7 linked regions of the Callithrix jacchus genome follow. The protein of the gene in region 3 purifies or fractionates together with the protein of the main gene of each other region. This does not show direct contact. Links are inferred from orthologs where the notes say so. Each region holds a gene or a part of one and is shown on either strand. Other genes may lie near its edges. The genes, in order: KIAA1671, TNKS1BP1, CAPZA2, WASHC5, TWF1, MTCL1 and CNOT1.

The links.
Region 1: the proteins of CAPZA2 (region 3) and KIAA1671 purify together in Homo sapiens (affinity purification with mass spectrometry; 3 studies listed by BioGRID and IntAct, counting the BioPlex papers as one, with this or other methods). This does not show direct contact. The link is inferred for Callithrix jacchus from reciprocal best matches to the Homo sapiens genes CAPZA2 and KIAA1671.
Region 2: the proteins of CAPZA2 (region 3) and TNKS1BP1 purify together in Homo sapiens (affinity purification with mass spectrometry; 4 studies listed by BioGRID and IntAct, counting the BioPlex papers as one, with this or other methods). This does not show direct contact. The link is inferred for Callithrix jacchus from reciprocal best matches to the Homo sapiens genes CAPZA2 and TNKS1BP1.
Region 4: the proteins of CAPZA2 (region 3) and WASHC5 purify together in Homo sapiens (affinity purification with mass spectrometry; 3 studies listed by BioGRID and IntAct, counting the BioPlex papers as one, with this or other methods). This does not show direct contact. The link is inferred for Callithrix jacchus from reciprocal best matches to the Homo sapiens genes CAPZA2 and WASHC5.
Region 5: the proteins of CAPZA2 (region 3) and TWF1 purify together in Homo sapiens (affinity purification with mass spectrometry; 3 studies listed by BioGRID and IntAct, with this or other methods). This does not show direct contact. The link is inferred for Callithrix jacchus from reciprocal best matches to the Homo sapiens genes CAPZA2 and TWF1.
Region 6: the proteins of CAPZA2 (region 3) and MTCL1 purify together in Homo sapiens (affinity purification with mass spectrometry; 3 studies listed by BioGRID and IntAct, counting the BioPlex papers as one, with this or other methods). This does not show direct contact. The link is inferred for Callithrix jacchus from reciprocal best matches to the Homo sapiens genes CAPZA2 and MTCL1.
Region 7: the proteins of CAPZA2 (region 3) and CNOT1 purify together in Homo sapiens (affinity purification with mass spectrometry; 3 studies listed by BioGRID and IntAct, counting the BioPlex papers as one, with this or other methods). This does not show direct contact. The link is inferred for Callithrix jacchus from reciprocal best matches to the Homo sapiens genes CAPZA2 and CNOT1.

The regions. Positions count from the first base shown.
Region 1 is NC_133502.1:195,971,519-195,975,018, forward strand, and holds part of KIAA1671 (uncharacterized protein KIAA1671 homolog), read left to right. Parts: intron 1-1,185; 5' UTR 1,186-1,240; coding exon 1,241-2,784; intron 2,785-3,500.
Region 2 is NC_133511.1:114,880,011-114,883,510, reverse strand, and holds part of TNKS1BP1 (182 kDa tankyrase-1-binding protein), read left to right. Parts: coding exon 1-204; intron 205-2,176; coding exon 2,177-3,500.
Region 3 is NC_133512.1:87,439,940-87,444,013, forward strand, and holds the start of CAPZA2 (F-actin-capping protein subunit alpha-2), read left to right. Parts: upstream 1-1,274; 5' UTR 1,275-1,386; coding exon 1,387-1,425; intron 1,426-4,074. UniProt on the Homo sapiens protein: F-actin-capping proteins bind in a Ca(2+)-independent manner to the fast growing ends of actin filaments (barbed end) thereby blocking the exchange of subunits at these ends.
Region 4 is NC_133517.1:72,278,386-72,282,478, forward strand, and holds the start of WASHC5 (WASH complex subunit 5), read left to right. Parts: upstream 1-1,293; 5' UTR 1,294-1,473; intron 1,474-4,093. UniProt on the Homo sapiens protein: Acts as a component of the WASH core complex that functions as a nucleation-promoting factor (NPF) at the surface of endosomes, where it recruits and activates the Arp2/3 complex to induce actin polymerization, playing a key role in the fission of tubules that serve as transport intermediates during endosome sorting.
Region 5 is NC_133510.1:31,724,201-31,728,460, forward strand, and holds the start of TWF1 (twinfilin-1), read left to right. Parts: upstream 1-1,460; 5' UTR 1,461-1,501; coding exon 1,502-1,526; intron 1,527-3,171; coding exon 3,172-3,249; intron 3,250-4,260. UniProt on the Homo sapiens protein: Actin-binding protein involved in motile and morphological processes. Inhibits actin polymerization, likely by sequestering G-actin. By capping the barbed ends of filaments, it also regulates motility.
Region 6 is NC_133514.1:54,360,533-54,364,616, reverse strand, and holds the start of MTCL1 (microtubule cross-linking factor 1), read left to right. Parts: upstream 1-1,284; 5' UTR 1,285-1,379; coding exon 1,380-2,432; intron 2,433-2,787; exon of another isoform or gene 2,788-3,339; intron 3,340-4,084. UniProt on the Homo sapiens protein: Microtubule-associated factor involved in the late phase of epithelial polarization and microtubule dynamics regulation.
Region 7 is NC_133521.1:16,470,718-16,474,808, reverse strand, and holds the start of CNOT1 (CCR4-NOT transcription complex subunit 1), read left to right. Parts: upstream 1-1,291; 5' UTR 1,292-1,390; intron 1,391-4,091.

The sequences.
Region 1 (3,500 bases), on a different chromosome or scaffold from region 3:
AGGCATGAGCCATTGTGCCCGGCCAGATGTTTCTCTTTTTATTAAGAATGTGGGCCGGGCGCGGTGGCTCACGCCTGTAATCCCAGCACTTTGGGAGGCCGAGGTGGGTGGATCACGAGGTCAAGAGATTGAGACCATCCTGGCCAACATGGTGAAACCCCGTCTCTACTAAATCCAAAAAAATTAGCCAGGCATGGTGGCACATGCCTGTAATCCCAGCTACTTGGGAGGCTGAGACAGGAGAATCGTTTGAACCCAGGAGGCGGAGATTGCCGTGAGCCGAGCATGCACCATTGCACTCCAGCCTTGGTAACAAGAGCGAAACTCCGTCTCAAAAAAAAACGACAACAAAGAATGTGAAGGCGGTCAGCATAAAATGTGTTTTCATAAAAAAGAACCACAAAACAAACAAGAGCAGGTTTAGTGAGAAAAATCAGAATGGCTTTTTTAAATGGCAGCTGGAAGGGTGAGGGATGGGAAAGAAAAGAGACTAAAGGATGATTGGGTGGGGTTGGTGGCAAGGGCATGGGTTCAGGTCACTAACCAGCTTTGTGCTCCCAGACACTCCTGAGCTGCACTGCTGTGTGGCCTGCAGCAGGTCACTTGCCTTCTCTGTGCTAGATGCTTAGCACACGCTTGTGATGAGGATCACCTGGGATGTGGGCAGGCTCTGCAGTGGGAAGACAGGGTAACAGGAGTGAGGGAATGTGAGGACGCTCCCACTGAGGCTTTTGCAGGGAGTGTGTGTGGTGTGAGTTTGGCGTCAAACCTGGTTTCAAATCCTGACTACAGCTCTTGTTTCCTGGGTGACTCCAGGCCAGTTACTTGGCCTCTCTGAGCTGGTTTCCTTGTCTGTATAGCAGAGATCACTGCTTTTTGCCTTAGTGCTGGCCTCTAGATGTGCTGAGTCAGGGAAAAGTCCTCCAGCCAGTGTTGATGCCTTTTCTACACTCTCGGAGCTGGAGCGCACTTCAGGGATGGGCATTTAGTCCACTTCCCTCCTCCAGAGCTCAGAGATGGGGAGAGGCAGGCCCAAGCCTGCCCAGTGAGGTCAGCGGAGGGCTGTCGTATGGAATCTGGGCTCAGGACTCTGAGGACTCTGTCCCATGCCTCCAAACCATTCTGCTTCAACCCAGACGCTGACTGTTTGCCAAATGTACTTTCTTGTTTGTTTCGTTTGTTTAGCAATTGCCTCTCCGTTCTCGACGTTCCTAAGCCCCATGGATGCACGACTGTAGCCATGGCCACGCGGGTGGAGGTGGGCTCCATAACGCCCTTGACGGCGGTGCCAGGCCTGGGTGAGATTGGCAAGGAGGACACCCTGACGAGGACCTACTTCCTCCAGGCTGGCGATGCCTCTGGGGCTCCCCCAGCCCGGATCTTGGAGGCGAAGAGCCCCCTGCGGAGCCCGGCCCGCTTACTCCCTCTGCCAAGACTCACCCCCAAACCCTTCTCGAAGGAGCAGGACGTGAAGTCTCCTGTCCCATCCCTGCGGCCCGGTTCAACTGGACCTTCTCCCTCTGGGGGGCCCTCTGAGGAGCCAGCAACAAAGGATCTGGACAAGAGGATGCCCGGCTTGGTGGGGCAGGAGGTGGGCAGTGGGGAGGACCTGAGGGCAGGCTCGTCCCTCTTCAGCAAGGCTGTGTTCCTGGGTCCCGGCTCCAACACCATGATTCTCTTCGAAACCACAAAAAGCGGCCCCACTCTGGGGAAGGTGGTCAGTGAGGGGGCTGAGGAGGCCAAGCCGGGTATGTCGGGCTCCCGGCCCGAGGTGGCCACCAAGCCCGCCCTGCCCACCCGAAAGCCTGTGGGGACTCTTCCCCGGTCAGCTCCCCCTTCACGGGACATAAAGCTGCCTATACCCCAAGAGGATGCAGGCCAAGACCAGCCTCCCTCCAAGGCCAGCAGTGTGGAGGACACAGCACAGCCCACTGTGGAGCCCAGGCCTCGCCTGAAGAGAAGGCCCGTGTCCGCCATTTTCACGGAGTCCATTCAGCCTCCAAAGCCAGGCCCCAGCGCGGTGGCCACGGTGGGCAAAGTGCCCCCCACCCCTCCGGAGAAGACGTGGGTGAGGAAGCCCAGACCCTTGTCCATGGACCTCACGGCCCGCTTTGAGAACAAAGAGGCCTTGCTGAGGAAGGTGGCCGATGAGGGAAGTGGCACCACAGCAGGGGACACGGCTGGGCTGGAGAGACCCAGAGCAGAGCGCAAGCTGGACCAAGAGTGTTCAGTCAAGGCAGAGGCTCCTCTTCATGATCCTGATTCGGACTTCTTGGAGGTGGCCAAGAAAATCCGTGAACGGAAAGAGAAGATGCTTTTGAAGCAGGAGACGGGCAGCCCCAGAGCTCCGGGGGGCTCCGCCAGGGTCACCCCCAGCAATGACCAGCATCCCTGGGAAGAAAAGGCCAAGATGGACCTGGAGCCAGAGAAGGCTGCTGAGTCCCCCTTGCCCAGGCTGGGAAGGGGCCTAGAACTCGCTGAGGTTAAGAGCAGGGCAGACGATGGGGAGGCCCCGGCTCCGGCAGGGGGAGAGTGGGTCTCCAGGGGGAGTGTCAGGAAGTGCATCAGCCTGTTTCGGAAGGACAGCACCTCGGCCTTGGCAGTGGGGTCTGAACCCCCTCTGGCTACCCCTGCATCCCCATCAGTGGCACCAGAGATGGAGAAAGGGGTTGTGAGCGTCCAGGAACGGATCAAAGGCTGGGCTGCCGAGAGCTCCGAGGCCAAGCCTGAGGTCAGGAGGAGGACATTCCAGGCTCGGCCGCTGTCGGCAGATTTGACCAAATTGTAAGTAGGCACATCCCACACTCCTGTCTCAGTCACCCACCCAGAGCCCCTGAGGAAGAGGAAACCAGGCTCCCTGCTGGGCACCTGCCGCCCCCCTCAGTTCACCCGTAGCCCAAGAGGAGGTAGCGGCAGTGTCCATTTCTCAGATGAGGAAGGAGCGACACAGAGAGGCAGTGTAGCTCCCCTCTGGGTGTGGCCAGCCAGGGGGCCCAGAGCTCAGTTGTCGTGGCTTTTCTCAGCTTCAGATGTACTGTGTGATTGAAGGCGGAGCTATGTGCCCACGTCACAGAGGCAGAGCAGAAGGGCGAAGTACCGTGAGGAGGTGGGAGCTGGACGTCACTCCAGCCCAGCCGTAGCTAAGCCTTTCTTCTCTAGAGTCAGAGAGAACACTTAAGATTAGGCCTAAGCCTCTGTGAGTGGCCCAGAAAATAAACTCAGGAGTCAAGGTAATTTGGGCAAGTCAGTTGGTTCATGATGATATTCTATGGCGGTCGGTTAGTGATGATACTCTAAGTCAGTTCGTTAATAATGATATTCTAAGTTTCTAAGTCAGTTGGTTAGTAAATGATTTTGTTTTGTTTTCTTTTTTGTGGTTGTTGAGACTGGAGTTTTGCTCTTGTTGCCCAGGCTGAGTGCAGTGGCACCGTCTTGGCTCACTGCAACCTCCGCCTCCCAGGTTCAAGGAGTTCTCCTGCCTCAGCCTCCCAAGCATCTGG
Region 2 (3,500 bases), on a different chromosome or scaffold from region 3:
GTGACCCTAGCTCTGGCCGAGACCACCGAACCCAGGACAGAGGCTCAAGACTCCTGTAGGGTGTCCCCCGAGCCTGCGGGGCCTGAAAGCAGCTCCCACTGGCTAGACGACCTCCTGGCTTCACCACCACCCAGTGGTGGCAGTGCACGGCGAGGAGCTGGAGCTGAGCCGAAGGATGCACAGTCCCCAAGTACCTGCTCCGAGGTGAGGATGGGCATAGGGAGTGGGGGGCTTCTGGGGACAGAGGCCAGGGCTTGGGTGGGCTTCATTCTTTGAATGTGGATTTTACGTGTCAAGAGCTTGGGCTGTGGTAGCGAGCAGGGCAGCTGTGGACCTGCACATCGTAGGTCCTCAGAGCCACACGGGATGGTGTGTGGGGTTTCGTGTAAGGCTCTATCCCAGCTCCAGCACCCGCTAGCTGATTGGTCTTGGGAAGAATGTACCTTAACTGCTAAGCTTCAGAGTCCTTCCATGATAGCACTGGCCTCTGAGAGTTAAATCGCGGGAAACTGAGAGGTGGGGAGCTCTGAGTATGGTATGTGGCAGGTGCGGAGTATTCAGTCTTATTATGGCAATGTTATTCAAGGCACAGTAGTGTAGCCATTTAGAGTGTGGGCTCCTGAGTTCGTCTCCTGGCTCTACTGTTCCTTTGCCCAGGTGTGACCTTGAAAGAGCGACTTTTCTGCCCTCTGCCTCAGTTTCCACATCTGTAAACCGTGGATCACAAGATGAGCTCTACCCCCGAGGGTGTTGGCAAGGGTTCAATGAGTTGTAATGTCTAAAGTGCTAAGAATAGCCCTTGGCTCATCCTAAGTGCTTAATAAGTGTTGGCTTTTACAAACGTTATTAACATTGAGCTCCAGACCTGCTTTGTAGACAGGCAGCTGGGGCTTAGAGGAGGTGAGCCTTGTGCAGTTACCCAGCAAGTTGGTGGCTGGGCCTAGGCCAGCGCTGTTTCCCTGCCCGATGCCCTTTCTCTTACCAGGCTGCCTCTGAATTTAAGGGCCAGGGGCCAGGTGGCTTTTGAAATTTATTTCTCAGGCCAAGCCTGGGCTGGAAGGGGCGGAGCTGCAGGGGGCCTCTAGGGGCTGGGGGGCGGGGAGGAGGAGGAGCAGGAAGGGGTTAAGCTGACTCCTGCAGTAGGTGTGTCTGTCCCGGGATGTGGGTGACTCAACTGACTCCTGGGCGGGGCTGCCCGATGTGCAGCTGCTCCGGAGGGAGCAGGGCCAGGGTGAGGGAGAGCCAGCGCCAGAGCCGTCGGACAGGTCCCAGCTCGGGGAGCGGCCCAGCCCTGTCCCTGTGCCTGGCTGGCCGCACCCAGCAGCCCCAAGGCGGGCGGGGGGCGGGGGGCGGGGGGCCATGGCCCAGCCTAGGGATGGGGAGGCCAGCATGTCTATCCTGGAGCGGCTGCTGGCCAACGCAGCGCTGCGGGATGAGGCTGGCCGGCTCCGAAGCCCTGAGCCCAGGACTCTCCCGCCCACAAGGGTGAGTCAGGGAGAGTGAGGTGGGGGGTGGGGCGCAAAAACCCCGGGCTGGGATTTCCCCCTGTGCCACAGGCTGCCCCTCCTGTCTTTCCTGAGCCAGGGTGAAGGCTGAGAGGTCTTCCTGGGGAGGACTGGGCAGACAGCACTTTCGTTGGGAAGAAGGGCCTGGGTACTTACAGGAGGACGGGGTCGGATGGGGCAGGGGAGCGGATGGGCTGGAAAAGCTCTCACTGGTGTTGGAAACTTGCTGTGCAAGGGAGGTCACAGAGGCTTTGAATCTTGACCTCTCCTAATCGAAAGGAAAGCGCCCTCCCCGCCATTCCTGTGTGAAGACCACTCCTCTCCTGGCTGTTAGCCAAGTATTGCCCAAGGGTTGTAAACATGACCATGGGACCATCGATTGAGTGCCCACTGCATGCCAGGCACTGTGCCGAGTGCTTGGTCTAAATGATCTCATTTAATCCTCTCACACCAGCCCCATGCAGAAGGAATTATCCTTGTTTGAGGATGAGGCCGCTGAGGCCCAGAGTAGTTAGGTGATTTGCTGAAGGTCACACAGCTTTCTGTTGCCAGGGTGGGGTTCTCAGGCACTGGGCAGCATGGACCTTGCCGGATTGACCCCCCCACACCCCGGTTGAATCTAATCATTGTTTCTTTGTCTGTTTTTTTTTTGTCGTTGTTGTTATTCCCAGGGACTCCTTGGCTGGTCCCAGAAAGATCTGCAGAGTGAATTTGGGATCACAGGAGACCCACAGCCCAGCAGTTTCAGTCCTTCCAGCTGGTGTCAAGGTGCTTCTCAGGACTATGGCCTTGGGGGTGCAAGCCCTAGAGGAGACCCAGGCCTCAGAGAGGGTGACTGGACCAGCAAGTATGGGCAAGGAGCTGGGGAAGGGAGCACCAGGGAGTGGGCCAGCCGGTGTGGCATCGGCCAGGAGGAGACGGAGGCCAGCAGCAGCCAAGACCAGAGTGAAATGACTGCTCCAGGGGGCCTCACAGCCCAGGACCGGGTAGTGGGAAAGCCAGCCCAGCTTGGCAAGCAGCGGAGCCAGGAGGCAGATGTTTCGGACTGGGAGTTCAGGAAGAGGGATTCCCAGGGCACCTATTCCAGCCGGGATGCAGAACTCCAGGACCAGGAATTCGGGAAGAGAGATTCACTGGGTGCTTACAGTAGTCGAGATGTAAGCCTTGGGGACTGGGAATTTGGGAAGAGAGATTCTCTGGGTGCTTATGCCAGCCAAGACGCCAATGAGCAGGGCCGGGATTTGGGGAAGAGGGACCACCATGGCAGATACGGCAGCCAGGATGCTGATGAGCAGGACTGGGCGTTTGAGAAAAGAGATGTGTCCCTCGGCACCTATGGCAGCCGGGGTGTGGAGCCACAGGAACAGGAGTTTGGGAAGAGCGCTTGGATGAGGGACTACAGCAGCGGTGGCAGCTCGAGGACCCTTGACACCCAGGACAGAGGCTTTGGAACGAGACCCCTGAGCTCTGGGTTCAGCCCTGAGGAAGCCCAGCAACAGGATGAGGAATTTGAGAAGAAGATTCCGAGTGTGGAAGACAGCCTTGGAGAGGATAGCGGGGATGCTGGCCGGCCAGGCGAGAGAGAATCAGGGGGCCTGTTCAGTCCTAGCACTGCTCACATGCCAGACGGGGCACTCGGGCAGAGAGACCAGAGCAGCTGGCAAAACAGTGATGCCAGCCAGGAGGTGGGAGGGCAGCAGGAGAGGCAGCAGGCAGGGGCTCAGGGTCCTGGCAGTGCTGACCTGGAAGATGGGGAAGTGGGGAAGCGAGGCTGGGCCGGTGAGTTTAGCCTCAGTGTTGGCCCCCAGCGAGAGGCAGCATTTAGCCCAGGGCAGCAGGACTGGAGCCGGGATTTCTGCATCGAGACCAGTGAGAGGAGCTATCAGTTCGGCATCATTGGTAATGACAGAGTGAGTGGTGCTGGCCTGAGCCCTTCCAGCAAGTCGGGAGGTGGTCACTTTGTGCCTCCTGGGAAGACCACAGCTGGCTCTGTGG
Region 3 (4,074 bases):
GTTTGGCTTTTGGTTTTTTTTGTTTTTGAGTCTTGCTCTGTCGCCCAGGCTGGAGTGCAATGACTCGATCTCGGCTCACTGCAACCTCCCCCTCCAGGGTTCAAGCAATTCTCTTGCCTCAGCCTCCCAAGTAGCTGGTACTACAGGCATGTGCCACCATGGCTTGGCTAATTTTTGTATTTTTAGTAGAGAGAACTTTCTCCATGTTGGCCAGTCCGGTCCCGAACTCCTGACCTCAGGTGATCCTCCCACCGAGGCCTCCCAAAGTGCTGGGATTACAGGCCTGAGCCACTACACCCAGCCCCAGCTGTTCAATGTATGTTTGTTTAGAGTAGTAGGTGAGCTTCCTAGAACAGAAGTTTGTCTTATTGAAATAAATAGTTTTGGAGTACAGGTGGATTTTTGGTTACATGGATAAGCCCTTTAGTGGTGATTTCTGAGATTTTAGTGCAGCCATCACCTGAGCAGTGTACCCTGTTCCCGGTATGTAGTCATTTATCCCCTCCCCAATCCCCAAAGTCCATTTTATGCCTTTGCACCCCCAGAACTTAGCTCACCCTTTTAAGTGAGAACATAGGATATTTGGTTTCCTATTACTGAGTTACTTCACTTAGAATAATGGCTTCCAGCTCCTTTCAAGTTGCTGCAAAAAATATTATTTCCTTCTTTTTTATGGCTGAGTAGTATTCCATGGTGTATATATACCACATTTTCTCTATCCCCTCGTTGGTTGATAGACACTTAGGTTGGTTCCATCTCTGCAATTGCGAATTGTGCTGCTATGAACATGCATGTCTAGCTTGCTTTGGGGGAACCTCAACACTGTAACCCCGGAGACTAACACAGTGCCCCACACCCCGTTGAAGGACCAAAAAATATTTGTTGGATAAATAAGAAATATATCAAGAGCAATCTTTCAATTATGGAGCGGGTTGGGTGTGTGTATTTTAATGAAAGCCGACTATTTTTTCTAATATTTGAAAAACCAATGTTTAAAAAGCTTCTATTGCACACCTTTTCACATTTTAGCTAGCAGAGTTCAGGACTTGATGGAAACATAACGAAGGGCTCAGAATGTACTCATCGCAGACTGAGCCCATATGGTCACTGGTGGGGAGAGAAAGCTAGCAAACCTATGCAGGTGGCCCTGGGAGACACCGTCCCCCGCCGGGCCACCAGGCGCCCGCGCACGCGCACGCGCACAGCCGCGCTCAGGCTCTGAGGGCCGGTCGAGGGAGGCGGGGCTCCCGGGGCGCGTGCGCGGCGGCCTGAGCGGCGGGCCCCTCCCTTAGCGGGGGTGCGCGGCGCGGAGGACCGCACGGAAAAGGGGAAGTCAGGTGGCCGCCGCCGCCGCCGCCGCCGCCGCGGTTTGTCGCTAGAAGGAAGATGGCGGATCTGGAGGAGCAGTTGTCTGATGAAGAGAAGGTAAGAGCCGCGGGGGCGGCGGCGCGGGCCTTCAGGAGCCGGCTCAGCCCTGGCTTGTGCGCCCGGAGTCGGGTCGCTGGGGAAGCATTGGCCCGCAGCGGGCGGTGCCCTCGGCTGCCCTTCCTCCCCCCTTCCTCACTGCGCCCAGTGCCTGCCCCCGTCCGTCACCCGAGGCCCCGCGCGGGGGCAGGTCTCAGCCAGGCCTACTCACTCCGCTCCTTGTAGGGTGTGTGCTCCGAAAATAGGAAAGGGGAGCCAGGCGGCGGCGGGCGGGGGCGGGGGCGCGGGCGCCGGGGAGGGCGGCGGCCGCCCGGGACCCTCTCCTGTTACCCGGCCGCGGGGCCTGCGCCGGGAGCTGGGGGCCGGGGGCCGGGGACCGGGGACCGGGGGCGCAAAGGGGTCTGCGTCCCGGCTTGGGAGCGGCCCAAGGGCAGTGCCCAGAGCGGCAGCCTGGCCTGTGAGTGTAGCGGCGGGTGAGGGGAAGGGAAAAATTGCTTAGGAAGCAGACCTTCAGTTCTCCCTTCTACTTCCCCCTCCCCAAAGCAAAATGCTTCCTTTTCTGATTCTCTACGTTTTATGCTTTTTTTTTTCCTTTCCCCATGGAGGCCTGTCTCTCTCCCGCCCGCCCGCCCTCTCACTTCGTGGCTCTAGCTTTAGGCTTTGCAGCTCCCATGTTCCTCAAGAGGCAGTGGAGTTGCTCACAAAAAGACGACCCCCTCCCCATAGTTGTTTTCTATCCACGTTGGCAGCAGCCCCCCCGGGGGGCGATTTGATGGCACCTTACCTTCCTGCTAGGACTTCTTCCGAAGAGGGGAAATTGTGCAAGTCCTTTTACTGTATGTTAGATGCTGTGACAACACTGGAACCAGGTGAACGACATAAGTTCTCAGATATTTAAAACGAGAAATCGAATAATTCATTGAACTGTTGCTCTTTTACACTCTCCTTTCCTTTGGCTTTTGCGAACGTCCGGTTCCCGAGGGTAGTGGGGTAGGGGAGAACTCTGCTAATTTTGACAGTTTCTCGGAAAGGAACCTGAGGTTTCTCAAACTTAGAAGTACTCCCGAAGTAACTGACAGACACGAATGAGTTAGTTGCAGGGTTGGAAATGCTCTTTAACTCTTCGTTAAAGTGTGCTTCATTTTTAAGTTCCAAAGCTGTATAGCCAATGCAGGAAAATACAAGTACCTTTAGGTACGTTGTGGTGGTTAACAGATCCTCACGTAAGTTTGAGGATATTTTCAATTTGGACCCTCTGCTCTAGATGTTTTTATATACTGTATTCTTGCACTGAAAGAGAAGGTTCCGTCCCATTCCCGATGTGAATGGGCAGAAGTCAATCTCATCTTTATTTTGGAAATATTTTTTCCTCTTGTGCTCTTTGGTGAAAGTGATAATACAGCAACAAAATGGGGGTGAGCAACATCTCCATAACCCCCAGTAGGCAGATCCCTGTATCCAGAAAAGTTGCTGTGCAGTATTCACGTCTACAGTCTTGGTAAATAACCCAAAGTAGCTGTCCGAAAATGCACTGGAGTGCACAAACACATATTTAAAATTGAGTTGTGCTAAAAAGTTTAAAAAGAGATTGTCACGTTTTTATTTTACCATTCTTAAGTCGTAATTAGTAGTTGCTCAAGTGGCTAGAAATTTAGCTGAAGAGAGAATACTGTGTGGGAGTTAATATAGACCTGCCATGTGTTGTAAAGGCCTAAAATTAAAAAGCTTTTAAAAAATGGGTTTACAAAATTCCTTATTATCCAGCAGTCTCAGGGCACTAAGCTTCATGAGGAGGAGTGAGGAGGTTGTGTGTCTTCAAGCTTGCGCCGCCTACTAGCAAAATGTTTTATGGGTAAATTAGTGAAAATTCTAATTTGATTTTTGGTGTTTTGTAAGAATATTCTGTAGATATTATACATATAAATTTCATCACTATATTTACTAATTAAAAAACTGACAGAACTTTTGGGGTAAATGCAAGTAACCAGTTAAGTGAAATTTTAACGTTCTTGTCACTTTAGATATCTAAAGGTATTTTTCATTTTGGGGTGGAGGATGTGTCCAGTATGGGATCAGAAACAGAGAGGACTTGAAAGTGATATATTAATATTTCTCTTTCTACCGTCTTTTTGGTAATTTTCAAAAATAAGTTCTCAAGCTGGACACAGTGGTTTGCACCTGTAATGCCAGCTACTCTGGATGCCAAATGCGGAGAATTGCTTGAGCCTAGAAGTTGTAAACCAGTTGGGCAACATAGTGAGACCTCATCTCTAAAAAATAATAAGTTTTAAGTTTTCGAAATTTCCATTCTAGATTGCAAATCTAAGAAAGGGAAGCTGTTAAGATGTATCTAGTACTATACTTTATATATGCTTGGCTGAGTTAGATACATTCATTACTTAATTTGTTTTAAGAGGTAGTTGTCCTACTACCATTTCACAGATGAGTAGAGTGAAGTTCAAAAGCTTTTAGTAGGCCGGGCGCGGTGGCTCAAGCCTGTAATCCCAGCACTTTGGGAGGCCGAGGCGGGTGGATCACGAGGTCAAGAGATCGATACCATCCTGGTCAACATGGTGAAACCCCGTCTCTACTAAAAATATAAAAAATTAGCTGGGCGTGGTGGCGCGTGCCTGTAATCCCAGCTACTCG
Region 4 (4,093 bases), on a different chromosome or scaffold from region 3:
GTTACAGAAGCCCAAATTGACTAAGACACCAGCTTTCATCGCTTGGTTTAAGTGGTTCTCAACCAAGAAAGATTTTTACCCTTCTCCCAACGGACATTTAGCAGTATCTGTAGACATTATGGTTGCCATCTAGTAAGCAGAGGCCAGGGATGCTCGTAAACATCCTACTATACACAGGACAGCCCTCATCACAACCCCACAGCAAAAAAGAATCTAGCCTAAAATGTCAATAGTGCGTCCGGTTAGAATAACTGGTTTAAATCAATCTCTCTTGGATGTCTCCCCAGCTAATAACACTGATCTTTTCTTCCCGGTACCTATGATCTCCAAGAAAGTTTAGAACAAGGTTGTGCATTTCCTGAGTTTTTTCTCTGCATGTTATTTATAGACAATATGCTGACTTCCTTTAAATCCGTGGGAGCCTTGTACAAGTCAGCAAGAGCTGCCTCTTCTTTTTCAGCATGCAAGGATATACCCCTCTCTGAATCCTTCTCTCATACAATAGCCTGTTCCTTCCCTCATGCTACCATTATCCGTATCACATGCACATACTCTTACTATGAAACTCATCACAGCTATTTGCTCACATGTCTGCAGCTACTTTATTCTGAGAACTTCTTAAAACTAGAACCCTGATATATGCTACTGCATATAAAGCAGTTTCTCACACAAAATGGGGGATCAATAAAGATTCGGCAAGTTACAAAAATAACAACAGACTTCATCATTTCTAGGTCACCTAGAATGCCATAAACTGGTGTCCCGGCACTTCATTCTCCTTATCGCCAATTCTCAGCGCAATCTACATAAGCGAAGAGGAAACAGATCCAGAGAGTTTATTCAAATGACCTGCCCTTGGCCTTGCTTTTAAAGTCAGTTCAAACTAGATCTATTTGGATCAAAAAATCTGTGGTCTTGCCCCTACCCTCCACACCTGGGGCTAAAGGATGGAGATGGCGTCTCGGACAGGAGGGTAAACTGTCCCAGACTCACTACTGTGGCGTGAAAAGTGCCACAACCATAATCCAGGTCGAAGGACCCCCGGCTCAGGGTCCCCGTGGAGCGCCCCGGAAGGAGGCGACAACTCCCGCCACCCTCCCCAATGCTGTCCCCCGCTTCTGCCCTACCTGGCTGCCTGAGCTGTCTCCGTCTGGTGCCACACCGACTTCCCCCACCTGGACCCACCTCCTTTCCTCATCCCCCTTCGCCTACCTCTGTAAAGTGAGCGCGGGCTCTTGCGTCATCAGCCGTCGCCGGCGAGTGATCACATGACGTCCCTCCCTGTTCCCCGCCGCTTCGGTCATGTGACAGCCTTGGGCGTCAGGGGGCGGAAGCAGTACTCGGACCCGCTCCTGGTCGGGGACTGTAGGTAGAAGAGGACCGTCACCGTGAGGGAGGGGTGAGACCAAGGTGCGGACTCGGCGCGCGACCGCCTGCCCTGCGCGTGCGCCGCTGGCGCGGCCCTGCTGACAGGTGAGTGGGGATGCGGTGCCCGCTCCCCGTTTTTGCACTGTCCTCTTCCCCTCCCCGCTGTGCCGCGCTAGCCACAGGGAGGTTTGCAGCGTCGCATGCAGTCTGGGTGGGAGACTTGGGATGGAGGGCTTAGGAGTCTTCTGGGGCGGGGGCTGCAGTCCAGCTCTTCGTCTCCGCTTGGGGGAAATCATTTTGCACACCCCTTCCTCGCTTTAGGAAGCGCCGTTCCGCTGCTTGGTCCGAATCTCACCCTCCCAAGTTTCCGGGAACACTGCTGTGTGGATATCGTCGTTATTTCTCTATTTGCTATTGAGAAAATTGAAAGGCTAGTGAGGACTTTTACAGTCTGACGGGCCCAGGTTTGCATTCTAGTTATGCCATGGGCTGTGAGTTTGGGCAAGTCATTGCTGTTTGCTGCGCCTTAATGCCTTCACCTGTGACAGACTGATGCCAAAATCCTCTTTATTTTGGGGGGAAAAAAAGTTCCCAGGGTCCTGATTCCTCTATGATCGGACAGGAAAAAGAAAAAAGTCACAGAGCCATGCAACTGGGTCTCCTGATTGCAAGTGTATGGAGCTCCTTCAAACATCAGCAGGAGGTAGTGAGCGAGAAGTTTTACTTACTGTCTTTGTGCACGAGAGCCACCTTCTCTAATTGTCCTTCACCTGCCTTTCCCATGATTTCAGGATCAGCCTCATTTCAGAACTTTTCTGGAAAACATATGCAGCTTGCATTTATCTTGATCAACAACCATTATATTTTGTTTGTGATAATGTATTTATGGAGATTAGTGCTTCCTTTATGGAACTGAGGTTTGGCGAAAGGCTTAAAAATAAGAACTGCCTTCTTTTATCCTCTGAATAGGGTAAACAGTGTTTTCCCACGACAGTTGGATTTCCTTAAGAAATATTGTTCTGTACTCTGAGTAATTGGTGTAATAATGCCATGCTTCATTCTTGAAAGCATGTCTTTTGATTAGGATTGTCTCCCAAACTGAAAATCACAGTTCCATGCCAAATTCTTAAAAATGAAGTTACCGGCACTCTAACTTGTAAAAAAAAAATATATATATAGTGGGATCTCTGGTTCCATTTGATGCCAATGGTAATATAGCCTGTATTGAGAAAACTGATCTTTCAGAGTTTTCTTAATCCCTAGCACCAAGAGAACCTCTGAAAGGATAATTTAGCATTGCTTCTTCTACAGTGTTTATTTGGACCTAATTCTAAAGCGGTTTTTTAAGACTTAACTGAGTCATAACACTTTGTAAAGCTATCCACCTACTTCTTAGGTAGCTGCAACTTGCTTAGGCTTTTTTTTTTTTTTTTTTTAGATGGAGTCTTGCTCCTGGGTTCAAGGGATTCTCGTGCCTCAGCCTTCCGAGTAGCTGGGACTATAAGCATGCGACAAGACGCCCAGCTAATTTTTATATTTTTAGTAGAGACGGGGTTTCACCATGTTGGCCAGGATGGTCTCAATCTCCTGATGTGATCTGCCCACCTTGGCCTCCCAAAGTGCTGGGATTACAGGTGTGAGCCACTGCTCCTGGCTAGGCATTTTTAGTGATGATTCTTAGATTCTGTTCTTCACGACTAGTACTTCAACCAACTGAGGGCTATTTACCAGATACTCTAGCCAATTATATTTGTGCAAATCATGGAAATTCCATTTGTTACATGGAAAATATAACTAGTCCAGGTTAGGAGGTCTAGTACATAAAATGTAACTAAGTGATTTCCTTCTTTCAGATAATCTTGTTTTAACCCCTTCCATCTTCAAAAACTTAGCAGGAGATACTTACACTATTAGAAATAGAAAACACAAGTGCTCTTCATGGGGCAAAAGAGATTACAAGCAGTGAGTTCATTTCAGTAACTTTGTTAAATATAATTCATATTTTGCTTTGGCATTAAAAAATTTAATATAAAGTTTATATATAGAATTTTAGAAGGTGATTCACCTAGGTATTAAAGACCCATAATATTTGTTTTACTATTGCCAAACATACTTGATTATTATTACCCTTCTCATGTTCCTTTAAAGTCATCTACAGTATAATTCTAGAGTAAGGGCCTAAGGATTAAAATAGGAGATTGACATATAAAGGCCTTGATTTCTGCCATTATCCCAGACTGAAGCTTCCCTCAATGTGTGCATGCAGGTGCTGAGTCTGTCTGTCCTTCTGTATGTTGGGAGAGAGTAGAGTCAAGGGCAGGTAATGTTACTTTGCTTTGAGATGTTTTTCCCAGGGACAGTGTTGCCCTGTCATGGTATCCAAAATCTGGCAGCCATTGGAACTGTTCATCATAGCTTCCCCTCCTCTTCATGAGTCTAGATCAAGGGTTTCCAACCCAAGGCCTGCAGGCCACATGTGGCCCAGGATGGCTTTGAATGTGGCCCAAGACAAATTTGTAAATTTTCTTAACACATTTTGAGTTTTTTGCAGTTTTTTTAAAGATCATCAGCTATTGTCGGTGTTAGTTTATTTTATGTGTGGCTCAAGACAATTCTTCTTGCAATATGGCCCAGGAAAGCCAAAAGATTGGACACCCCTGGTGTAAAGTTTTATCCTACTTAGACCTGCGTTAGTTTGGTGGTCTTCGGAGGGCTTTAATAGGTG
Region 5 (4,260 bases), on a different chromosome or scaffold from region 3:
TGGTGGCTTTTGGGGTGGTCCCAACCTAAATGGACATCCCTCTTCTTCAAGACTGAACATACAGTGGTCTTTCCCAAGCATGAATATGGAAGAATTATATTTCTGTCATCAGTACTTCTGAGCAAGGCCAACCTTCTTAAGCAACTTCCCTGAGGCACCAGGATATGAATCAGTCAAAACACTGCAAGTGAACAATGCAATTTTCTCTCTGCTCAGCAATGTAGTTAAAAACTGGCAAATCAGGGTGAACCATTGTGTCAGGAAGAATTTGGTTAGAATGAAACTCCTCCCTATATTTCTTAAATCCATACAAGTCATAAAACTCAGATTAAATTTAGTTTATTCCTGAATATGAGGGTATGTCTGAAAAACAGAGCTCAGATAATAGGGAATAGAACATAACCTTGTTTCCTGTGATCCTTGTAAAGAAAAACAATTGCAGGCCTGTTAATCATTCATTAAAAAGACATTGTATAGTATTTGAACACTGATTAACTTGCACTTATATTATTGACCTGAATAAATTACTTGTTCATTGGCAGATTATAATTTTGTGTGTCAAGGCCCCCAAAATAAGAACTAGCTTAGTTCTGCACCTAGTAGCAGAAGAGAAGCAGTACCAAAAACAAAACAAAACAAAACAAAAAACCAACCCTCAAAAACTAACATTACCCTTCAGAGGGAAACGTTTTTAAAAGCAGGATTGGAAAAGATTTTTAAGTAATATCTGCTGTTACCTTACAAATCTGTCCAAGTGAATTTTGAATAATTATTGGATTAAACAATAAACAGTCAACCTAAAGCAAAGCAGTAAAATAGTATAATCGACCACAGAGGAATACTCAAATCAGCTAATCTCTCTTAGTGGCTGTCTCTTTTTGGAATGAAGAGATAGATACGCTAGGTCTCTAAATGTGTCCAGCTGAAAAGAAAAGTTAACAGTCTGAGATTAACTCAATTAAAATCGTGGAAAAATTTGATGAGAGACAGTTTATAGTATATTCGTTCTTTTAAAACAATGGAGCAAGGAGAAGGCTTTTCTACACTAAATGGTATCGATTATAGAAAGAGTAAACCAAAAACGATAATGTGCACATCTTTTTCAAGCTGAAAAATGCCTGTTTGATAAAATGATCATTTCCGTTTTTGAGCATCCCTTTGCTGAGTAGCGAATGGCGCGTCGGCGGGGTCGCTAGAGGGCAGACGTCGGAGCACTGAGATCTCTCGGTTCTGCGGCATTTTCCCCAGGAGAAGCCGGAGAAGCGACAGCAAGAGCGGAGGCAAGACCCTAGGCAGAGAACTAGGGTCGCGAGGCCGGGGGTTGGACAGCAGCAGATCGGCGGGTCGCTCTGGCACGCAGTCGGCCTCTCGGGGCGGGGCGGCCGCAGGTCGCGGACGGATGACGCGCCGGGGCGGGCGGAGGAGCAGCCACTTCCTGGAGCCGCCGGCCGGGGCCGCTCGCTGCACTCAGCTCCGGAGCCGGGAGCCAGCGGCCGCCGCCATGTCCCACCAGACCGGCATCCAAGGTAACGGCGCCCGGCGCGACCCGCAGGGAAGGGGCTCCCCAGAGGCTCGGGAGAGCCGGGTGGGCTGCAGGGCGGACAGCGCTGGAGTCGGACCCGGAGCTCCGGGAGTCTGCCTCGCGGGGCGAGCCGGGCCTCAGTGCTGCTCCGTGCTCCTGCTTCCCTGGCGCTCCCGGCCTGCGTCCTCTTCCAGCCCGGGCCCTGCTGCTGCCACGTTGCAGATGGACCCGAAATTCGGAGGAGCGAAGGAAATTGGATTTCGAGGTGGCCTGGTTGAAGGGGGCGTGCCCTCCACCGTCCCCGACATTAGTTCAACTTTCCCCCTTTTGGTCAGGTAGGGAAGAGCTGGGACAGTGAGGGCGACTGGGGCTTCCCTACGCTGTCGACAGCCAGGCAAGTTTTCCTTTTCGTGGTGCAAAAGAGAATGTTACGGGACTTTGATTACAGAAAGAAACACGCCAGAATCTTTCTCATATCAGTAGGAGTGCTTCCCAAAACTCTCCGGCATTTTCTTCCCAAATAGGAAAGTGAATTATGTTCTGAGAAATCCCGGGTGTGGAGTGTGTTTTGATCTTTAGGTACTCCCCAAGGGAAACTGAAATCCTGATCTATATGGTTGCACGTAATCATCGCGTGCAGACAGTTGAACGTGCAGTTATATCTGACCTCCATTATTTCCTGGTTTGAAATTGGGCAGTCTAGAAGTGCTCACCTCATCAAGAGTCAAATAATATATCCCCGGGTTACTAGCGATCACTTAACGAGTTCTAGTATAAACTCAAGCTCCTCCTGTCAATTACGAGTTCTCCTAGATGAACACTTAATTGCATGTTTTATTCTTAAAAGATTTTTCATACCACCCCACACATCCCTCTGCACGCATGCACTCACAAAAACAAAGTAGTCTCAAATCTGAAAGCATTGTTTTATTTATCCGTATTAATTTCGATATGTAAATATATAGTTACTGACTTTCATGCTTGAGCCTTATAGCAAGCACTACCTACTTAAATAGTGGTTTCTTGCTGTTAATAGACAACACAGAAATGAAATTAGAACGAAACTGAAGTTTTACTGGAACACAAGTGTTAGTTATTAAATATATATTTATTCAATGAGTTTAATCTAGCTTTTGAGAAATCCACGTTAGAAAAATATAACCTGAAGTAAGATTGAATGCATTTCATTGCCTTTTCTTTAGTCAAGTTAGGATATTTGATATATACTGTTGTTTTTAACGGGAAAATAAAGTGAACTGATGAAGAAGGTGGCTATCATAAGCTTGAAACTGAATTAGAGAATGAAAGCAGGTTCTCAGTATTTTTCCAAAGAGCAATACAAGTTTTTCAAAATTGTAACTTGCTCATTATTGGGTTTGAGTAACTTCAGTATGTTCATCCCTGTGTTATTTCTGCTACAAAATTATGTAGCTAAAACAGATTCAAATTATTAGCATACTTTAAAAATGTTTATATTTCTTAATTGTATAGTCTTCATTATTTTATGCCATTAGTTTTATAATACTGATAATAAGGATGCTACATGCTCCAGATTTTTTCTTTGTATTCTAAATAATTTTTTCCCATATAGATAGCAAAGTATTCATATGTAAGTATTAAAAGTTTACTTTCTTTATCTTTTTTCACAGCAAGTGAAGATGTTAAAGAGATCTTTGCCAGAGCCAGAAATGGAAAGTACAGACTTCTGAAAATATCTATTGAAAATGGTTAGTTAAATATTTTAAAATATTTTTTGTTCCTGGATTAGTGGCTGTTGTATTTTTAAATTTACTGTGTGTTGTCAGTGATTTGAACTATTAATTAATGTGAAACAAGTTCAGATATTACCTTACGGTAACTTGGATTCCTCATATATTGTGCAGGTCCCTATGGGCCCCTGATTTCATTCTCAATTCTGTGACTATCAAGGAAATAGATGTTTTTTGATGTGACTTCTTCCTCTTTTACTTTTTGTGTCTCAGTTTCTGCACTACAGTCCATTTCTAATGTCAGTGCTTCCATCTGTGGAATGGAAATCAGTAAACAGGTGATTATCAAAAACAATAGTTACTTGTGAATTATTCGGTAAAGTTTGTTTTGAAATAGAAACAAAGGATTTCAATCTCCCATTTTCTTCATTTGATTGCAACCTTTGCTACAGAAATGATCATTACCCTTTCTTGTTTTGGGAAAGTTCTGAGACTATAACAAACTACAAATTGATTCTTTAAAAATAATTCTTTAAGCAGGGAATCTGGTTGAGTGGTAGAATTTTTTAAGTCAGGCAGATCTGAATTTGAACAATTTCTGTTATAGCTACTCAATCCCAAAGAATATGTTAAAATATTCCAGTGGCCTAACTTCTTAAGTATCTGGAAATATTTTGCTTTGGAAAAGTAATTTGTTCTTTCACAAACTGGAATTAAATCTAATTGGTTTTCTGTTTTTTTGCTTATATATTAAAACCAGAATAGTTTATAAAATATGCATTTGTTTACAAATAACATTCAATAGGAGTATAGTATATTGTAAAGCAGCATATTTTAAAAATACTGGGCCAAAACTTTAAATGCCATCATTTCCTAAGTGACTAAGGAATTAAAATGGAAAAGTTAATCTAGCATCTCTAAGGAAGGAAAATGCCACTATTTCCTAAATTATTATTTTCTAGTTTTACTTTTTGTTTTGTGAAAATTTTTAAAAAAGGAAAATTCCAAAGACTAAAATCATAAATACCT
Region 6 (4,084 bases), on a different chromosome or scaffold from region 3:
TACAGTTTGCATGGTGTGTCTGGTATTTGCTCAATGTTCACACACACTCAGGTGGCAGTACGTTCTAATGATGCAGGTGAGGGAACTGGGGCTCAGAAAGGTGTAGTGCTTTGTGCATGGGAGACTCAAGTGTTAGAACCGGTGCCGAGGCTCCAGGTTATCTGAGAGGAAAGCTTGCAGGACTCGGAATCCTGTGGACCTGGGTGTAAACACTCTCAGCCAGGGACTGGGTGAGGCATCGCAGGCAAGCGACTTTACCTCCCTGCGCCGGTGCCCTCCTCCTTACCGAAGACAGCAATTCCAATCCGGGATTGTGGTGAGGCTTAAATAAAACAATGCCCATTACGTGGCCAGCAGGCCTGGCTCACAGCCGGAACTATAAATGTGAGTTCTCTTTCTGACCCTCGGCTTGGCGAGGGCTCCTCCTGTTTCGGCAGCAGCTCCTCCTCCTCTGAGCTCCTGAGGCCACGGGGGTGCCAACTGTGGAGCGCCTGCCGTGCTCGTTCTGACGCGAGAGCTGCGTCGAGTACCAGCGATCCTTAAGGAGCGCGGGACCAGGGGCACAGCTTGGAAAGGACAGCGGGGGAGGGGACCGGGCTCGGGGAGGCGGGCGGAGGATGGAGGGGCCTGAAGGGGGCGTTGTCAGCCGCGGCACAATCCTTTCCCAAGTGGGCGCCGCCGCCCCTTACCACTTCGCCTCCGCCTCTTCCCCTCCTCCCGAGCTCCTGGCCGCGTCTCTAGGGCCTCAAAAAGAAAGGAGGGTCCCCGGAAAGGCGTGTGGACCCAGCCTACGCCTGCCCCCAAGGGCCAGCTCTGCCTGGTGCCGGCCCCGCCCCTGCCCGGTGCCCGCCCCCGGGAAGCGCAGGCCCCGCCCCTGCCCTCGCCCCTCCCCCCGCACGGCGCCGGCTGGCAAGAGGCGGGGCATGCGCACCGGCGGCTGGCGAGGGCGCTGGGCTGTGGGGCGCGCGCGTGCGGCTTCCCTCAGCCGGGAGCGGCGGGGGCGGGCGCGGGCCGGCGGTGGGCGGGGTGCGGGACGCGGGAGCCGGGTGCGCGCCACGAGCACCGCCGCGGCACCAGTGACCGCGAGCCCAGAGCGCGGGGTCCGGGCATGCAAGCGGCCGGGAGCCGCCGCGCTGCTGAGCCGCGGGAACTCGATCCGCGGTGACCTCAGCTAGGGGCTAGCGCGGCGGCGGCGGCGGCGAGCCCCACGGGAATCCTACGGGCCGGGGTGCGGGGCGGGGGTGGGGTGACGGCGGGAACGCGGGGCGCAGCCCGGGCGGGGCTGAGACAGTGATGAGCGAGCGCGCGGGGAGGCTGCACGCCGCCGCCGCCGCCTCCCGGAGCATCTGCCGCCCGAGCTGCTGCCCGCGGACCCGGCCATGGAGACGCTGAACGGCCCCGCGGGCGGAGGCGCCCCGGACGCGAAGCCGCAGCCGCCGGGCCAGCACCACCGCCACCACCACCTCCACCCGCTGGCCGAGAGGCGGCGGCTGCACCGCGCGCCCTCGCCCGCCAGACCCTTCCTCAAGGACCTGCACGCCCGGCCCGCTGCGCCGGGTCCGGCGGTCCCCTCCTCCGGCCGAGCCGCGGCGCCCGCCGCCCTGCGCTCGCCCAATCTCGCGGGCAAGGCACCTCCCTCGCCGGGGTCCTTGGCGGCGCCCGGCCGCCTCTCCAGGCGCAGCGGCGGCGTCCCGTGCGGGAAGGACAAGCCCCCGCCGGGACCTGGGGCCAGAACGGCGGGCGGTGCCAAGGCTGCCTTGGGAAGCAGGAAGGCGGCGCGCGTGGCGCCCGCGGAGCCGCTGTCCCGGGCTGGGAAGCCTCCTGGAGCCGAGCCGCCGCCCGCCGCTACCAAGGGCCGCAAAGCCAAGCGCGCCTCTCGGGCGCCCCCCGCCCGCACCATCGGTCCTCTGACCCCGGCCGCCCGGATCCCCGCCGTGACCCTCGCGGTGACCTCGGTGGCCGGCTCCCCGGCTCGCGGCTCGCGCATCAGCCACACCGACAGCAGCTCCGACCTCTCCGACTGCCCCTCCGAACCCCTGTCGGACGAGCAGCGCCTGCTGCCTGCAGCTAGCAGCGATGCCGAATCCGGCACGGGCTCCAGCGACCGAGAACCCCCGCGAGGAGCGCCGACGCCGAGCCCGGTAGCCCGGGGAGCGCCGCCGGGCAGCCCCGAGCCCCCCTCGCTCCTCGCCGCGCCTCTCGCCGCCGGCGCCTGTCCCGGGGGCCGGAGCATCCCGGGCGGGGTTTCCGGGGGATTCGCGGGGCCCGGCGCGGCGGAGGATGCCAGGGGGCGCGCGCCGCTGGAGCGACTCCTCCCCGGGACCCCCAGGGAGCCCAGCCTGGGCGAGCAGCCTCGACTCGTGCCGGCGGCGGAGGAAGAGGAGCTGCTGCGGGAGATGGAGGAGCTGCGCTCGGAGAATGACTATCTCAAGGTGAGCCGCGCCCCGGCGGCAGGTATTCCAGGGCGCCCTGGGAGGGCCTGGCTGCGGCGGGGACCCACCAACCCCGCCTTCCCGGGCCTATCCAGAGCCTTTTCCCTCCGGCCTTCCACGGTCCTGCCCTCGCATTGTCAGGCATTGGGAACTTAAGCCCAAACTTCTGGAAGGAGCAGCAAGACCTGCGGGTCCCCTCCAATTCACAACCCACTTCGCTTTTGTCACATCCAGAAGTCTTGCGTCTCTTCGCTGATTGTTTTACTTTTGTTGACCTGTTGGGGCAGAGGAGGCTGTAGTCGTCTTGGGGACATCAGCCGACACCCCCATCCCCGCTGAGACGTGCCAGCCTCACCTGTGGGAACAGGTGATCTTTCGCCAGGGATCTCTGGCCTGGCACTTGCCGGTGTGGCGGTTCAGGACGGTGACACGGAAGCGGGGGCAGGCCCTGCTGCGGAGCCGCCCACCCCCCTCTCCTGCAATTACAGAAAGAGCTGGGGGCCCTTAGGGTCTCCTGGGCTCCGACAGCCTGGGTAGAGGGACCGAGTCGTTTTCGGTGGTCAAGATGAAGTTCAGGAGAGGTTCCTGGAACGTGGCTGGGTTGAGGAGTAGCGGTGTTGTGCGGGCCAGTCCTTTGTAAGCACCCAGGAGCCGGCTTTCTGTGTCAGGAGAGGCCACGCCAGCACTTTCTAAGGAATCGCTGCGCCTGCTGCATTCTGAGTATTTTCCCCAGGGCCTGCAGGCAGTGGCCTCTTAGTCTCCTTAGCACTGGGTGCTTAATCCGGCTCCATCTTTTTTCCTTGGTATGGGACTGGAGCTACATACTGGGTTCCCGGGGTTAGAAGGATCCAGGTGACTTGAGAGAAAATAAGGAGAGTCGTATTGATGGCAACTGTTTTATTTATTGCAATCCTCAGGTTAGTAAACTACTCTAGTGGCATAAATCTGTTTATCTGTTAAGTCTTAATGAGCAGCCTCCAAACCCAGCTTCTTCAGTGGGTTGTGTTATTTGAGTTGTTTTCTCAGCAAATGATAAGCCTAACCACTACGGGCCCAGTTTTTGGCTAGTGAGACTGAGGATTGGGTTTTAAGGTAGATGGTGGTGAAGTATGCAGTTCACAGGGAAATCAGAGGACATTAATTGCTGGGTGGCCTCCAAGCCTAAATTTCTTATGGAGCTGCTCCAACCAGCTGAGCCCTATTTTACTTTTTGCAAGAAGTAACAGTGAGGCACAGAAAGAGAGCTGGTAAAAGATGGACTTACTGCAAGATGTTTCAGATAGTATGGTTGCTATTGCTTTCCTCACTTACTCTTAGGTAATAGACAACAGAGTGAAGTTCAAAGGCAACTATGTTTTGAGTGACTCCATCATGAAAGCAGCACTTCTGTAAATCTTCAACAAATGTAAGCTTTCTGAGGGTGACAAGATAATCTTGTTTTTGTATCCCCTCCCCCTAGCATAACCACTGACTTACAAGATTTCTGATTGAATGGTGTTTATCCAAGTGACTGCTATGCAAGGGAAAATTGAGTTCTATAAAGAAGCTTCTCATTATATTTTGGTCTTAAGGTAGGCAGTCCATCATTTCAAAGTTCATTCTTGGTGCAACTGGTTATTTGCTTTATTTTTTCAAGTTGTTAGATTCTCAAT
Region 7 (4,091 bases), on a different chromosome or scaffold from region 3:
GTCTCGATCTCTTGACCTTGTGAACCACCCGCCTCGGCCTCCCAAAGTGCTGGGATTACAGGCGTGAGTCACTGCGCCCGGCAAATTTCATGTTTTTTACCATCATTTTTTTTTTTTTTTCAGTATATATTTTTTTTTTTTCAGTATTTTTTTTGGCACAAGAGGTAATATGAGACAGATGGCCAGGCGATCACCTGCTAAGCCTAGCCTGAGAGCAGGGGTGAGCAGGGGATAGGTTTTAATTTCAAAAGGTAATAGAGTTAACCAGTCAACACTTCCTTCCAGTCCTTTCTCTTTTGGGTACAGGTGAGCATAAAATCTTACCAATTATCATAGTTAACAAACAAACCATAGCAAAATATGTCTCTATGCTTTTCCACTTGAGAGCAAAGGACATGGGTATCCTTTCTTAGACGGCTCCTAGGACTTAAGCCAGGAAGAACACTTGTGTTTCCTTCAATAGGCAGAATTAAAAGAGAAAATTCCCTTGACGAAAGCGAAGCAAGCGAGGACCAGGTGGCCACCTGTGTGACTACATCCCCCAGCATGTACTGCTCCTTCTAGGGCGCAGCCAGTGACGGAAGAAGACGCGGTACTTCTCCGATGAGAACAGGGTAGGGAAGCGCGACTACATATCCCAGGATGCAAGGCGCCCCAACTCTAGTCACTATCTGACTTGCTTTCTGGCTGGTGTTCCCCGCCAAAGGGACACTAGGGGGGCGGAATGTTTCGGTTGGTACTCCCCGAAGTCTACTGGACTGTGACATTTCGAAAGAGAAAGGAAAGTGGAGGAAGGCTGTTTCACTGTAACTCAAAGTAGTTCCTGCACAAAGTGGCGAGGAGCTATGGGTCCTTTCCATAATTTATTGTTCCTCAAAGGCAATGCCAAGCGCCACTGGTCGCAGCCCTCCAGGGCAGGTAGGAAGTCCATGAAGCCCCAAATCGAAGTTATCAGCGTCTCTCTATTGGCCCTCGCCTCGAGCGCAGGCGCGAGGGCTCCGACTCAGGTCCCCTGGGCCTGGTGAGCGGCAATTGGCTACAGTCCACGAAGTAGAAGTCTGGATTGGTAGTTGCTAGCAAAAGCCTGGTTTCTTCCTCGACTTCTGCAAGTGATAGAGTGTGATTGGTTTAAATCCGCGGGTAGCTGTCGGTGATTGGGCGGGAGCCACAGGCGGGGCGCGGCCATTGGCTGGCGCTGGGACCATCCCTCCTCGGGCGGGCAGCGAATGATGAAATGGGAACGGGGAGGGGAAAGGCCGCGACGTGAGCGCGCGACCTCCGGCGCCATTTTGTCGAGAAACAAGCGGAGTTAACCGAAGAGGGGGTTGAGGAGAGCTGGAGTCGGGGACCCAGGAGTTTCCTGTGTTCAGCGCTGCTGGAGCCGTCTGAGGTGAGGCGGGCTGGCGTCAGGGCCTGGGGTACGGTGGCGGTGTTAGCTTGGGGACGCCAGTGCCAGTGGGAGGAGGAACAGGGGTGCACCTGGGGCCACTGGAAGCGTTTCCCGGAGCTCCGGGGAGTGAGAGGCAGCCGGGACGGGCAAGTGGGGCGAGGCGGGAGACGGCTCTCGGAGGCTTCGCGCTCTGAAGATGAGGCCAGCGAGAAGGCTCTAGGAAGCGGAGGGTAGAGCGCGGGATGAGACCCGGGGTGGCCTCTGTCCCGGGCCTGGAGGCTCAGGGGGCGGCAGTGGCGGCAGTTGGTGTCGCTGGGCCTGGCTTCGCGCGGGTTGCATCCTCCTGAAACCCCCCCACGACCTCCTCAACTACTCTTTCTCACTCTGCACCCGGATGGGTGCAGTGGGCATCGGCTCCCGAGGCCTAGCGCTTCGGATGGGGGGAACGGTGTTTGGAGTTTTTGCACGTTTCCAGTTTTTCTCAGTGTGCTCGGAGCTGCCACTCTTCCCCCTCTTACGCCCCCTGCACATTGTCAAAGCCCCCCATGTTTCGGGTGTCCCCGGATGGGAAGGGCGGGCGGGAGCGAGCACTTCCTTATTACTTGCCACAGGTTTTGTTCCACTAGCGCGCCCGGGCGCTCACACTTTCTTTGAAGTCGGCCCCCACCTGCTCGGTCCGGTGTCTGCAATAGTGGCGGTCCTGTTCACCCAAGACAAGTGTCCCGCTAGTGAGCTGAGCACTCATAGGCCTGAAGGCTGACGAGAGATCCTCTGCAGGTCTTGTAGAGGTACTTAAGGCCAAAGACAAATAATACTTTTTTCAGTACCACCCTCTGCAGAATTCACCCAACAGGGCTCACAGATACTAACTCCGCAAGGAGTAAACTTTGTAGATGAAAAAAGAATGCTTGATATCTGTGCATTTGAAAATGTTATATTTAAAATAAACTTTATGACAAACTTTTCCCCTAAAGTTAAATGTCACGTTTCTTAGGACTGTAATAAATTAAAGGCAGTTTTCTTCCTGAAAACTGAGTAACAATAGTTAATCTCCCTGCCTGTTCCTCGACAATTTGATCGCCTGTGACTACTTGGATTTTTTTTTTAAGTGTATAATTGAGTAAATACAAGTAAACTTTTTGAAAAAAATGCTGAGCGTTTTCCTTATGACAGTCCCTTTGATAGGAATAGGGAATACATGGATTAAGAAACTGAGGGAGGGCAAGTAAAATATTAGGAAGAAGATCAAACAGATTAAGAACAAATTTTCTTTTTCTTTTTTTCGAGACGGAGTTTCGCTGTTGTTACCCAGACTGGAGTGCAATGGCACGATCTTGGCTCACCGCAACCTCCACCTTCTGGGTTCGAGCAATTCTCCTGCCGCAGCCTCTCGAGTAGCTGGGACTACAGGCGTGCACCACCATGCCCAGCTAATTTTTGTATTTTTAGTAGAGACAGGGTTTCACCTTGTTGACCAGGATAGTCTTGATCTCTTGACCTCGTGATCCACCCGTCTTGGCCTCCCAAAGTGCTGGGATTATAGGCGTGAGCCACCGCGCCCGGCCTCAAATTTTATTTTTCTAGAGGTACTTGGATTTAATAGTTAAGTGGTCTGTGGTCCAGGTTTGTATTCCTACCCAACAGAGGATTTTAGCTATTAAGAAGGTAGGTTGTAACAGTTTAAATAATTACGTTTTAGGACACTGCGAATTGTTACCTTGTCTAAGGAGAAAACACATTGATGATACATGGTTTTAGGTGGCTAGCTGTGCTTTGACTGAAATGATGACATGTTGATAAAACTTGTTTGGAGAGTTGGTCCCTTTTCAACAAATATGGGTCTTCTGAGTCTTAGTGGAAATAAGTCTAGAATTGATTGGGTGCTGTGGCTCATGCCTGTAATCCCAGCACTTTGGGAGGATGAGGTGGGTGGATCACCTGAGGTCAGGAGGTCGAGACCAGCCTGGCCAACATGGTGAAACTTCATCTCTACTAAAAATACAAAAACTGGCCAGGCGCAGTGGCTCACGCCTATAATCCCAGCACTTTGGGAGGCCAAGACGGGTGGATCACGAGGTCAAGAGATCGAGACCATCTTGGTCAACGAGGTGAAACCCTGTCTCTACTAAAAATACAAAAATTAGCTGGGCATGGTGGTGCACACCTGTAGTCCCAGCTACTAGGGAGGCTGAGGCAGGAGAATTGTTTGAACCCAGAAGGTGGAGGTTGCGGTGAGCCAAGATCGTGCCGTTGCACTCCAGTCTGGGTAACAACAGTGAAATTCTGTCTAACAAAAAAAAAAAAAAAAAAAAAAAAAAAAAGATCAAGACCATCCTGGTCAACATGGTGAAACCCCGTCTCCACTAAAAATACAAAAATTAGCTGGGCATGGTGGCGCATGCCTGTAGTCCCAGTTACTCGGGAGGCTGAGGCAGGAGAATTGCTTGAACCCAGGAGACAGAGGTTGCAGTGAGCTGAGATCGTGCCATTGCACTCCAGCCTGGGTAACGAGCAAAACTCTGTCTCAAAAAAAGAAAAAAGGAAAAAAAAAAATACAAAAATTACCTGGGTGTGGTGGCAGGCACCAGGAGGTTGAGGCAGGAGAATTGCTTCAACCCCAGAGGTGGAGGTTGTGGCCAGCTGAGATTGCACCACTGTACTCCAGTCTGGGTGTAAGAGTGAGACTCCGTCGTCCCCCCCC